3 linked regions of the Oryzias latipes genome follow. The protein of the gene in region 3 interacts with the protein of the main gene of each other region in a biochemical or structural test. Links are inferred from orthologs where the notes say so. Each region holds a gene or a part of one and is shown on either strand. Other genes may lie near its edges.

The links.
Region 1: the proteins of cdk2 (region 3) and skp2 form a complex in vitro, tested with the Homo sapiens proteins (3 studies listed by BioGRID, with this or other methods). The link is inferred for Oryzias latipes from reciprocal best matches to the Homo sapiens genes CDK2 and SKP2.
Region 2: of the proteins of cdk2 (region 3) and wee1, one has a biochemical effect on the other in vitro, tested with the Homo sapiens proteins (3 studies listed by BioGRID, with this or other methods). The link is inferred for Oryzias latipes from reciprocal best matches to the Homo sapiens genes CDK2 and WEE1.

What each region holds. Positions count from the first base shown.
Region 1 is NC_019870.2:24,272,276-24,275,441, forward strand, and holds the end of skp2 (S-phase kinase-associated protein 2), read right to left. Parts: coding exon 3,045-3,166; intron 2,419-3,044; coding exon 2,367-2,418; intron 1,978-2,366; coding exon 1,870-1,977; intron 1,438-1,869; coding exon 1,218-1,437; 3' UTR 521-1,217; downstream 1-520. UniProt on the Homo sapiens protein: Substrate recognition component of a SCF (SKP1-CUL1-F-box protein) E3 ubiquitin-protein ligase complex which mediates the ubiquitination and subsequent proteasomal degradation of target proteins involved in cell cycle progression, signal transduction and transcription.
Region 2 is NC_019864.2:7,427,338-7,429,813, reverse strand, and holds the end of wee1 (wee1-like protein kinase), read left to right. Parts: intron 1-237; coding exon 238-383; intron 384-907; coding exon 908-1,064; 3' UTR 1,065-1,948; downstream 1,949-2,476. UniProt on the Homo sapiens protein: Acts as a negative regulator of entry into mitosis (G2 to M transition) by protecting the nucleus from cytoplasmically activated cyclin B1-complexed CDK1 before the onset of mitosis by mediating phosphorylation of CDK1 on 'Tyr-15'.
Region 3 is NC_019863.2:27,094,201-27,097,959, reverse strand, and holds the start of cdk2 (cyclin-dependent kinase 2), read left to right. Parts: upstream 1-1,368; 5' UTR 1,369-1,687; coding exon 1,688-1,803; intron 1,804-2,387; coding exon 2,388-2,465; intron 2,466-2,562; coding exon 2,563-2,683; intron 2,684-2,760; coding exon 2,761-2,931; intron 2,932-3,191; coding exon 3,192-3,293; intron 3,294-3,373; coding exon 3,374-3,577; intron 3,578-3,759. UniProt on the Homo sapiens protein: Serine/threonine-protein kinase involved in the control of the cell cycle; essential for meiosis, but dispensable for mitosis. Phosphorylates CABLES1, CTNNB1, CDK2AP2, ERCC6, NBN, USP37, p53/TP53, NPM1, CDK7, RB1, BRCA2, MYC, NPAT, EZH2.

The sequences.
Region 1 (3,166 bases), on a different chromosome or scaffold from region 3:
TACTTCATTGTGTAGATGGGAGGATGGGCGGAGCCATGTACTGTAAAATCTTAAGTGACAACCTCCTTCCCTCCTCCAGGAGGCTCCAAATGGGGGGGGGGGGGGGGGGGGGGGGGGGGTGGATGGTTCTTCCCTCATCCCTAAGCTGGTTTTTAGTTTTCGCTATACACAAGGATTTTTTAGCTTGTTTTTTATTTTGACACAAAATGATGTGATGCCTGACCAACTCGGAAAGCAAAGCATTTTCAAATTAAGAGGAGACAAAAATCAATTCCATTGAATTTTTCCACTTCTTTTGAATCAAAAATAATGTGGAGTACTAAAGAACCTAGAGCACAAAAATAAGAAAAGTGAGGACAAAACTATATTTTGTAAAACTAGTGCCCTCAGAGGACCACCTTCCTTATCAAGAAGGAATGTTTTTCGGATATAACGTGCAGTTAAGAGTTTTAACCAAGCAGCGATTTGATTCAAAGGACGTCTTTAAAAATGCTTTAGGTGACATAAAAGACAAGAAAGGGTAAGAAAAGGGATTTTAATGGGTAGTTCATTTGCATTCCAAACCTTTGAGTCATCATGAATGAGCATTAGAGATATCAGTCTGATTACTACAAAAATATAACCTTTGTGAAATCCTCCTGCAGCATCATTGGCTGTTCGGTTCCTGTGCTTCAGACTCTAAAAGCAAACACATGAGAACAGATAACCAACAATCGCTGAAGGTAAAATCCATTAAAAAGGATCATTAAATGCTGACTTAGAACAGAGGCATAAAAAAAAAATAACAGCCTTAGGGAATTGGAACCACAAACAAGGCTCCTCCCATCATCCAACAATGACATAACACTGCTTTCAGCACCAACTAAAGCCAGACATTTGACAGCAAAAGGAAAACCGCTCACCGATTCCTTTCAAACAGCAGCAAAGAACAAAAGCATTTTCCGGTCATGCCTTGATCCGAGTGTCGTCCTTTTAAAAGTTCTAACATTATTAGAACATTCAACAGATTTAAAATGCTTTCAAACTTACTACACGTGGCTAAACCTTCAAATGTTTTCTAAATGACACAATTCTCTTTGAGTTTGCCAACATAGCATCGAGGACTGATGGGTCATTGGTACCAGAGAGATTAAAGCCTCGTCTAGAACTGACATGTAGATCCTGCTCTGCAGCTCAAACTGTCCCTTTAAAAAAACAAAACAGGACTGAGTCCGCGGTCAGAGCTGGAAGCTGAGGCGGCACTTCCTGTTCCACATGCTGCGGTCGCCGTGGGACCCCGGGAGTTTGCTGGCGGGCGTAGGGCGAGCCACACTAGAGAAAGGCATGGAGTTGATGCTGACGTGAGGCATCTCCTTCTTCAGAGACGGCAGCTGGTTGTCCTGCACGAGGCCGAAGACGTCCAGCAGGCGCAGAGAGGGCAGCGTCTGTCCCAGATCCCTGCAGGAAGAACACAGAAAGTTGAGTCTGCAGAACTTCAATTTGTTCAAACCAACCAGATTTTCACTTTTCAGCCAACAATCAGCATTTACACATTTCCACCCTTTTTCTGCAAAGAGCTTATATTTAAACAAAGAACAGAGCACATGATCCTATATGCATCTAAAGAATGATGAGTCAGGGGTTACTGAACTGTAAAGAGACAAAGCTACAGCCTTACGGCTTACTGTGACGATTACATTTAATCCCAATCAAATTTTAAAAAAGACTTAATTTTACCACCTACAGGTGACTGAAAAGAAGGACCAACTGAATATCCTGGTTCATGTTTAATGAGCATGGTCCATTGTGGTCCAATCCTCTCTCATTGCAATGATTCATTAGGACGGAGGACGCTGAAGATCCACCCTGCAGCTCCAGGTGAGGACTTACGTGAGAGCAGCCAGGTGAATGTGATAGCAGCGACTCAGGGACAGGTGCTGCAGATCCTTCAGCTGTTTGAGAACCAGGAAGCTGTCAGCCATCAGCAGGGTGCTGTCACTGAAACACAAAGACTTAGTGAAATTCTGATAGAGACAGAACTTAGGAATCCAGTTCATCTGAGGAGAACCCTTTACTTAAAGACCCACTCCAATTAAAAACTGTGTTTTTAAAATGTTTTTGTGGGATTTTTCTCATGATGGAGATATATAAAGATAATTAAGCACCAACAAATCCATCCACAACTCAGAGGTGGATTTCTATATAACTGCTCTGTGTCCTAGAGAACCACACAGGCTTTTGATTGTTGCTAAAAACAGCATAAGCGTACTTAAAAGACAACTGGGAACCCTTTTACAATAGATGATCGGAGTGGGACTTTAATGAAGAGCAGTTCTGAATGAACGCATCTGGTGTTTCTGTTTCTCTGGGCTGGAGCGGGACGGTACCTCAAATCCAGGTGTTGAACTTCAGGACATCTGTCAACCAGGATCTTTACATCTGTAAAACACGCACGCCATTCCCATCAGTGACAGCAAAAAGATTTCATGATTATTCCCAGAAACTATCACACTTGGCATTGCAGGAAAAGAAAATTGAAAATAAAACTAAAAAAATGTAATGCATAGAGTTTGGTCACACTTCCATTTCCCCCTGTATGCATTATCACCTTGAGTTTAAATGTAAAAATAAAGAAAGAACTTTACTAACAGGGGTCCTGATTACAGACTTTGTGGAAATCAGATCCGATTAAAAAGGAAAACACTAAACTATAACAGCATTAATCATTTGAACAGCACTAACAGGCTTTATGTGCAGACTGGAGGATTTGAAGATGGGCTATGGGCTCACTGGGTGATCTACAACCTTGACGTTATGTGCGGGCCCCCCCACATGCTCCATATAGACCCGTGAGGGCAGTTGTGACTAAGCTATAACAGCTTGTGTTGTCTGATTTCTGTTTCCATCCTCTGGATTGGTTGGTTAAGCAAACAAAGCCTCAAACAGCTTTGCTGTTGTAAAAACCAGTGTGATCAACCGTCAGTCGAATTTCTCCTCGAAGGCACTTCTGATGTAGAACTGATGGAGGAGTCCCCTTCCTATGGAATCAGGTTTCCACGGCTTACCGTCTAACGTGAGGCTCTCTCTGTACCCGCTGATGTTCAGGCTGACGACTCTGGGGCTGACATTACTAACAACACTTTTCACGTGGTCCTTGTTGAAGCCGCACCATGAAATGTTTAGCTGC
Region 2 (2,476 bases), on a different chromosome or scaffold from region 3:
GACCAATAGCGGCGCAGATTTTTTAACAAGCACTGAGCCGCTGTCACCGCCCTCCTTTTGCGCTCTGAGCAATTGCCCGTATTACCTGTACCTAAAATCGCTACTTCTGCGCGTTCGCATCGGGACGCGCCCCACTATTTGAGAAGCACTCCTTTAGTACAACCAGTATGCTCTTCTAATATATTAATCCATGTCAAAAATATTTAAAATTAATTTTCCTCTCTTTTTGTTTTCTAGCTGATGATCCACCCTGACCAGGTCAGACGACCTTCGGCCTCCGACCTCATTAGACACCCGGTGCTCCTGACCTCTGCCAGAATGAGTGCAGACCAGCTACGAGTGGAGTTGAACGCTGAAAAATTCAAGAATGCTTTGCTTCAGAAGTGAGTACGACAGGTTGGACGGCGTGGAACGTGGAAATCATCGCAGCGTATCTTACAGTCATCAAAAAGTCAAATGCTGAACTGAAACTGGTGCAGATGTTCACATAGGAAATGTAAACATTTTTCAGCTGTATTTTTAGAACTTGTAACTGACAATACACATTAACCCTTGTGCTATCCTAGGCACTTTAACATTGGGAGTTGGGTCATCTAGACCCACTAGACAGTGCTCTGAGCCTTTTTTTCTTCACTGATTTGTGATCTTCACTGGTGTCCATAAATTACATGAAATCCTCTCCACCTTCTGGTAGAGATAACACGTCAATATAAGGGTGGGGTCATCTGGACCCCACAAGATAACACAAGAGTTAATGAACAAACAAAAACAGTTGCCTTTTCAAGATGAAATTTCAGTTTTTGTTCTCTCTTTTGTTAAAGAAGTCTTTAAAAGTCTTTTTGCTGCCGTTTTGTATTTGACTGACCACTGTGGCCGTTTGAATGAGTTCTTGTTTCTTTCTCTGCAGGGAGCTGAAAAAAGCCCAGATGGCCAGAGCAGCTGCTGAGGAGAAGGTTCTGTCCACCGACAGAGTCCTGACCCGCTCCACTCTCCAGTCCAACCTCCGAACCTCAAGACTAATTGGAAAAAAGATGAACCGCTCAGTCAGCCTGACAATCTACTAAGACTTTGAAGCCAACTCTCAAGGCTTAAGGACCTCCTAACCAGACTTGGTGTGTGGTTTTTATTCTCCTGGACTGCTGCCACACAGAACTGGAAGTTCTTTACACCTTTGTTGTATAGTTGAAACCTTCTGCCCATCTGTGTCTTTCTTGATCAAACGGTCATCCGTCAAAGGCCGTTGCTTTACCCTTCACAGTCCCGGTGTTGCGTGGAGATCAGGCTCTGCACCGTTGTGTCCTTGCACTTCCCCTTGAAGACGCTGAAACCCTTTAGTAGCAGATCAAAGCTGCAGTGAAGCCCTCTCCCGTGTGAATGTACTTGCCTCTACCATGTGCACCTTACTGCCTGTCATAAGCCTGATGCTGGGTGCAGGACTGCCTGAGGATCGATCACGTCTCTGTTTGTAATGGAGCACTTTGAAGGCACCGTGTGGTCACAGTGTTGGCCACGTTTTGTTTTGTTTTGCAAAATATGAAAAACAAACTTGCTGCTATTGAGTAATTTTTTGTGTATCAGGGTTTGGTCAGTTTCAGCTGGATTCTTCTACAGATAGTTGGCTTTTATTTTCAAATATAAACCAGTCATTTGCATATTTAGTTTTACTGCTTAGGAGTGAAATCAACTGTGCCATTTTGGTGAAAAGAGACCGTTAGTTTGAATGAATCCGGCCTTGATCAGTGCTGCCAGCCCTCCCTGTAGCATTAGAACAGCCACCGTCCTGTTCGTCATATTTTCATGTGTTCTGCTGTCACAATTCCAGCTCGTCCTTTTAGATTAGTTGTAATCGTCCGTACGTTCTTGTAGCTTCAGACACAAGAGCTTCATGTTGTAACATGTACATAATGTTCTTTAAATAAAACCTCATCATTTCTCCTCTTCTATTTTATTTGTGCTGTTTTTGTGTTTTCTTCTTGTTTTATAGGATCTAAAAGCATTGGGATAACTTTCTGTGAATTTTTTGAACATGTGGATGCTTGACCTTTTAGTCTGGACCCTTTTGAGCGCTTTTTACTCTTTTTTTTACAATGTGCTCAATCAATTTTGTGGCAATGATTGTTATCTGGCCTCTTTATTTTTCTTTACAGATAGGAACACAGAGGTCCCACTCTGATTTTTAATAGAACATGAAAAAAATCCAAAAACTCAATTCAAAGTTGCATTTTTAACTGGAAAAACCTAAAAAGTGTAGACAAATGTAATCTAATAAATACAAAAATAAGGCAAGATTTAAAAAAAAAAAAAGCAACACTCTATTCCTGGGGATATCACAATTCTCTCATAACTTTTGCGTTGTTCTTTTTAAACCAAAATGTTTCCAAACTGAAAACCTTTTTGAAAGTTGAAGTTTAAATTTTCAGTGAAAACTATGCTAACAGGGCAGTCGCTGTCAGTCCTACGTCACTGTAAACAGCTG
Region 3 (3,759 bases):
TGAAAAATAAATGAAAAATAAAAAATACATAAATTCCAGTGTTTCATCTGAATTAGAACCACGTTACTGCAGAGGGCTACTTATGTAATTCAATAATTTATACCAACATAAAAGTGATTACTTGACAATGATATTTCAATTTCGATCTCTTCAAATACATATATATATATATATATTTATATATATATATATTACAATGAATACAAATAGAAAAGTTGAACAAAGGAAAAACTTTTTTTTCTTTTTGTTAGTGTAAAATTTGGTTTACAAAAGTAGAAAATTAATAATATTTTCTAACATACTTTTCTTATCCTGTGGCAAAGATAGTCCATTGGAGTCTATACTTTAAGTTTACTTTTTATACACTATATATTGAAGACATAAAATGTAATAATTTATTCTGAGAAGTATTCTGTTAGTATACTTCCTGTACTGCATGTACATGGAGTATAGTAGGCGTACATTTGCTGTAATTATACTTAGGTATACTTAAGAAGTAAACTTTAGGTGTACAAGTGTACTACTTTTTTGCCAAAAAGTTGTCAGGAGTGGTTATAATCTTTTGGGATTTCAGTTTTATCTCACTAACAAAAAACAGTGTGAATGTGTTTGACAAGGAAATGCTGCACTAACAAAGAAACTAATAAAACACTTAAAAAGGTTTTGTCTCAATTGAAACTTTGAAGTCTTTTTATTTTTATTTTGACTGTTTATGCTTTTTTTAAAAAACTTTTATGTATTATTACTTTTGTTGATTCATTTATTGAATTATGTGTTTATTTTTTTTATTTTGTTTATTTTATTATTATTTATTTCATTTTATTATTATTATTATTATTATTTTTTTGTTATTCAACCTCATGGCAACTTCAATAATTTGCACTTGGTGTGAAATTCTGTATGTGCAATGTTTGTCAATAAAGTTATTAAAATTAAAAAAAAATAATCTCCGTCTTTGATTTTTGTTTTTTAACTGATGGTTAAATTGGAATATAAATGCATTTATGAAAATGTATACATTGATAAAAAAAAATGTTCCAAAAATACACATTATTTGTGGGCGTTAAACTTTTTTCCCTTCATATTTAACCGCTTTTACGTAGCTTTCTGGTTCCTTTACGCCGTAGACCATGTGACCAAAGAGTGCGGCTTGTTTATTATTCCGTTATACGCCGGAAGACGAGGAACTCATTTCTCCAATTACACCAGTTCGCAATAAAATCATTGGATTAAATACAATAAACATAGCGGTCTACCTTCACCAGTGCCATATATCAGGACTGACTTTAATTACTGCTAAATTCAAGAAAAGGGAAAATAATAAATTGCTTCTGCTCTGAACGGTACGGTGTGTCTCGAGCACAAAAACGAACGCCCGCAACACAACGCGGGAAACGCCGTTGTGTTGTTTTCCACCGCGGAGCAACCACCGGGCTAATCCTCAATTTAGGGGTTAGTGTTACTACCTGACAGATGTTCACCTGTCCGTTTTTGTGTGCCGCTCTCTGACCGGAGAGAGTTTGTCCTCGAACGGGACCCCTTGGTTTGGTTGTAGCCTGGACCGCATGACGAAACCCGGAGAAGCGGGTAATTGTAGGTCGGTCCCCGCGCTGCTTAATGCTTGTAGCCTCCGAGAAGACGTTAGCTCCGAAACAAAGAAAGAGGTCCGGTCCGATTCTGGTGGGAAATGGATACGTTTCAGAAAGTGGAAAAGATCGGAGAAGGGACGTATGGAGTGGTTTACAAAGCTAAAAACAAACTGACCGGAGAAACGGTTGCGCTGAAGAAAATCCGACTGGATACGTAAGTGAAAAGTTCTTCTTCCTGCTGGTTGAAACCTCTGAGAAGCGTTTGTTGTGATTCAGATTATCTCAAATGCTTAATTCCAGTCCCCTCATGAAACAGTTTCATTAATTACAGAAAAGACAAAACATTTTAAATTCACTCTATGTACAAAGACCTAAAAAATAAAAGTAAATAATAATACAAAGTTGAAACAAAACTGACATGTTACAAAATAAAAGCATTCAGCTCTTGTTTGGTTGGTTTCACTGTCAAATTAAACCTACTCAGTTACATTTAAAATCTATTCACCATCTGTTTTATTCATCTCTATTTGCCTTTGGGGGTAATGGAACACTAAACACAATTAGTCAATAAATTGATCAAAAGTGATGATTACAAATTCATGTGCATTTGTCCATAAAGTTTTGGAAAAGCATCATAAACACAACAAATTGCTTTAATTTAAAATGATTCTTAATCAAAATGAATTATTGTGCAATAACTAGGAAAATTGTATTCAATTTATCAATGGGACAAAGGAAGCATTTAACTTCATAAAACAATCTCCGCTGATCCTTAAATTTGTGATTTCTTTAATCCAGAGAAACAGAGGGCGTACCAAGCACAGCGATTCGAGAAATTTCACTTCTTAAAGAACTCAGTCATCCAAATATTGTCAAGTAAGTGTTTAACCATGCAGAAATATGTTTATTTTGTTCAAAAGAATCCCATTTTGTGTGATTTTATGTTTTAAACCAACTTTTTTTTTTTGTCCAGGTTGCAGGATGTGATTCACACAGAAAACAAACTCTATCTGGTTTTTGAGTTCCTCCATCAGGACCTCAAAAAATTCATGGACTCTTCCTCTGTGACTGGCATCCCGCTGGCTTTGGTGAAGGTGAGCGTCCTCTTTAAAGAGAAGATCCTGAAACTGTCCAGACCTGATTCCTTGTTCTTACTGTCTTGTGTTTCTAGAGTTATCTCTTCCAGTTGCTGCAAGGCCTGGCTTTCTGCCACTCTCACAGAGTTCTTCATCGGGACCTGAAGCCCCAAAACCTCCTCATCAACGCCCAGGGTGAGATCAAACTGGCAGACTTCGGTCTGGCGAGAGCTTTTGGAGTGCCGGTCCGCACCTACACTCATGAGGTACAGTGTGCTCCTCCCTTTCTTCATCTGTAACAAGGTACGAATCGATCTGATAACAGCTGATTTTGTTTTTCTAATGTGGTTCAGGGATTTTTAGTGCTGGATAGTGAGAAAATGTTTATTTTAAAGGATAAAATCCCAAAATATGTATTTTCTTAGCTTTGCTCTTTCAAAATCTGATTCAGACCTTTTCTTGTCTTGTATCAGGTTCACATAATAAAACATTAGAGTCGTTCTTGATTCTTTGTGGTATCTTTCAGGTGGTAACACTTTGGTACAGAGCCCCAGAAATCCTCCTCGGCTGCAAATACTACTCCACAGCTGTCGATGTCTGGAGTTTGGGGTGCATCTTCGCTGAAATGGTAACGCGCTCGACCCCAAGACCAACTTCAATAAAGAATTAGGAGCACGCTGATAATAAACTGATGGTCTGTGTTCACAGATCACCAGGAGGGCTTTGTTTCCCGGAGACTCTGAGATCGATCAGTTATTCAGGATCTTTCGCACGCTGGGCACACCTGACGAAACGGCGTGGCCCGGAGTCACATCCATGCCCGACTACAAGCCCTCCTTCCCCAAATGGGCTCGTCAGGATTTATCCAAAGTGGTTCCGCTTCTAGACGAAGATGGAAGAGAGTTGCTCGGAGTGAGATTTTCTTCTGATTGCTACATGTTTTACTCTTTTCCTGTTAAATATCTGCAAACGCGTTAATTAAGAGTAATTGTTTTTATGTGTAGAGTTTAGAAAGGATGACAAATTCTCTTATGCAAATTATAACTTTTTCTGTCTACTGAAAAAAAAAAAACAATATTTTAAACGCAGCTCAG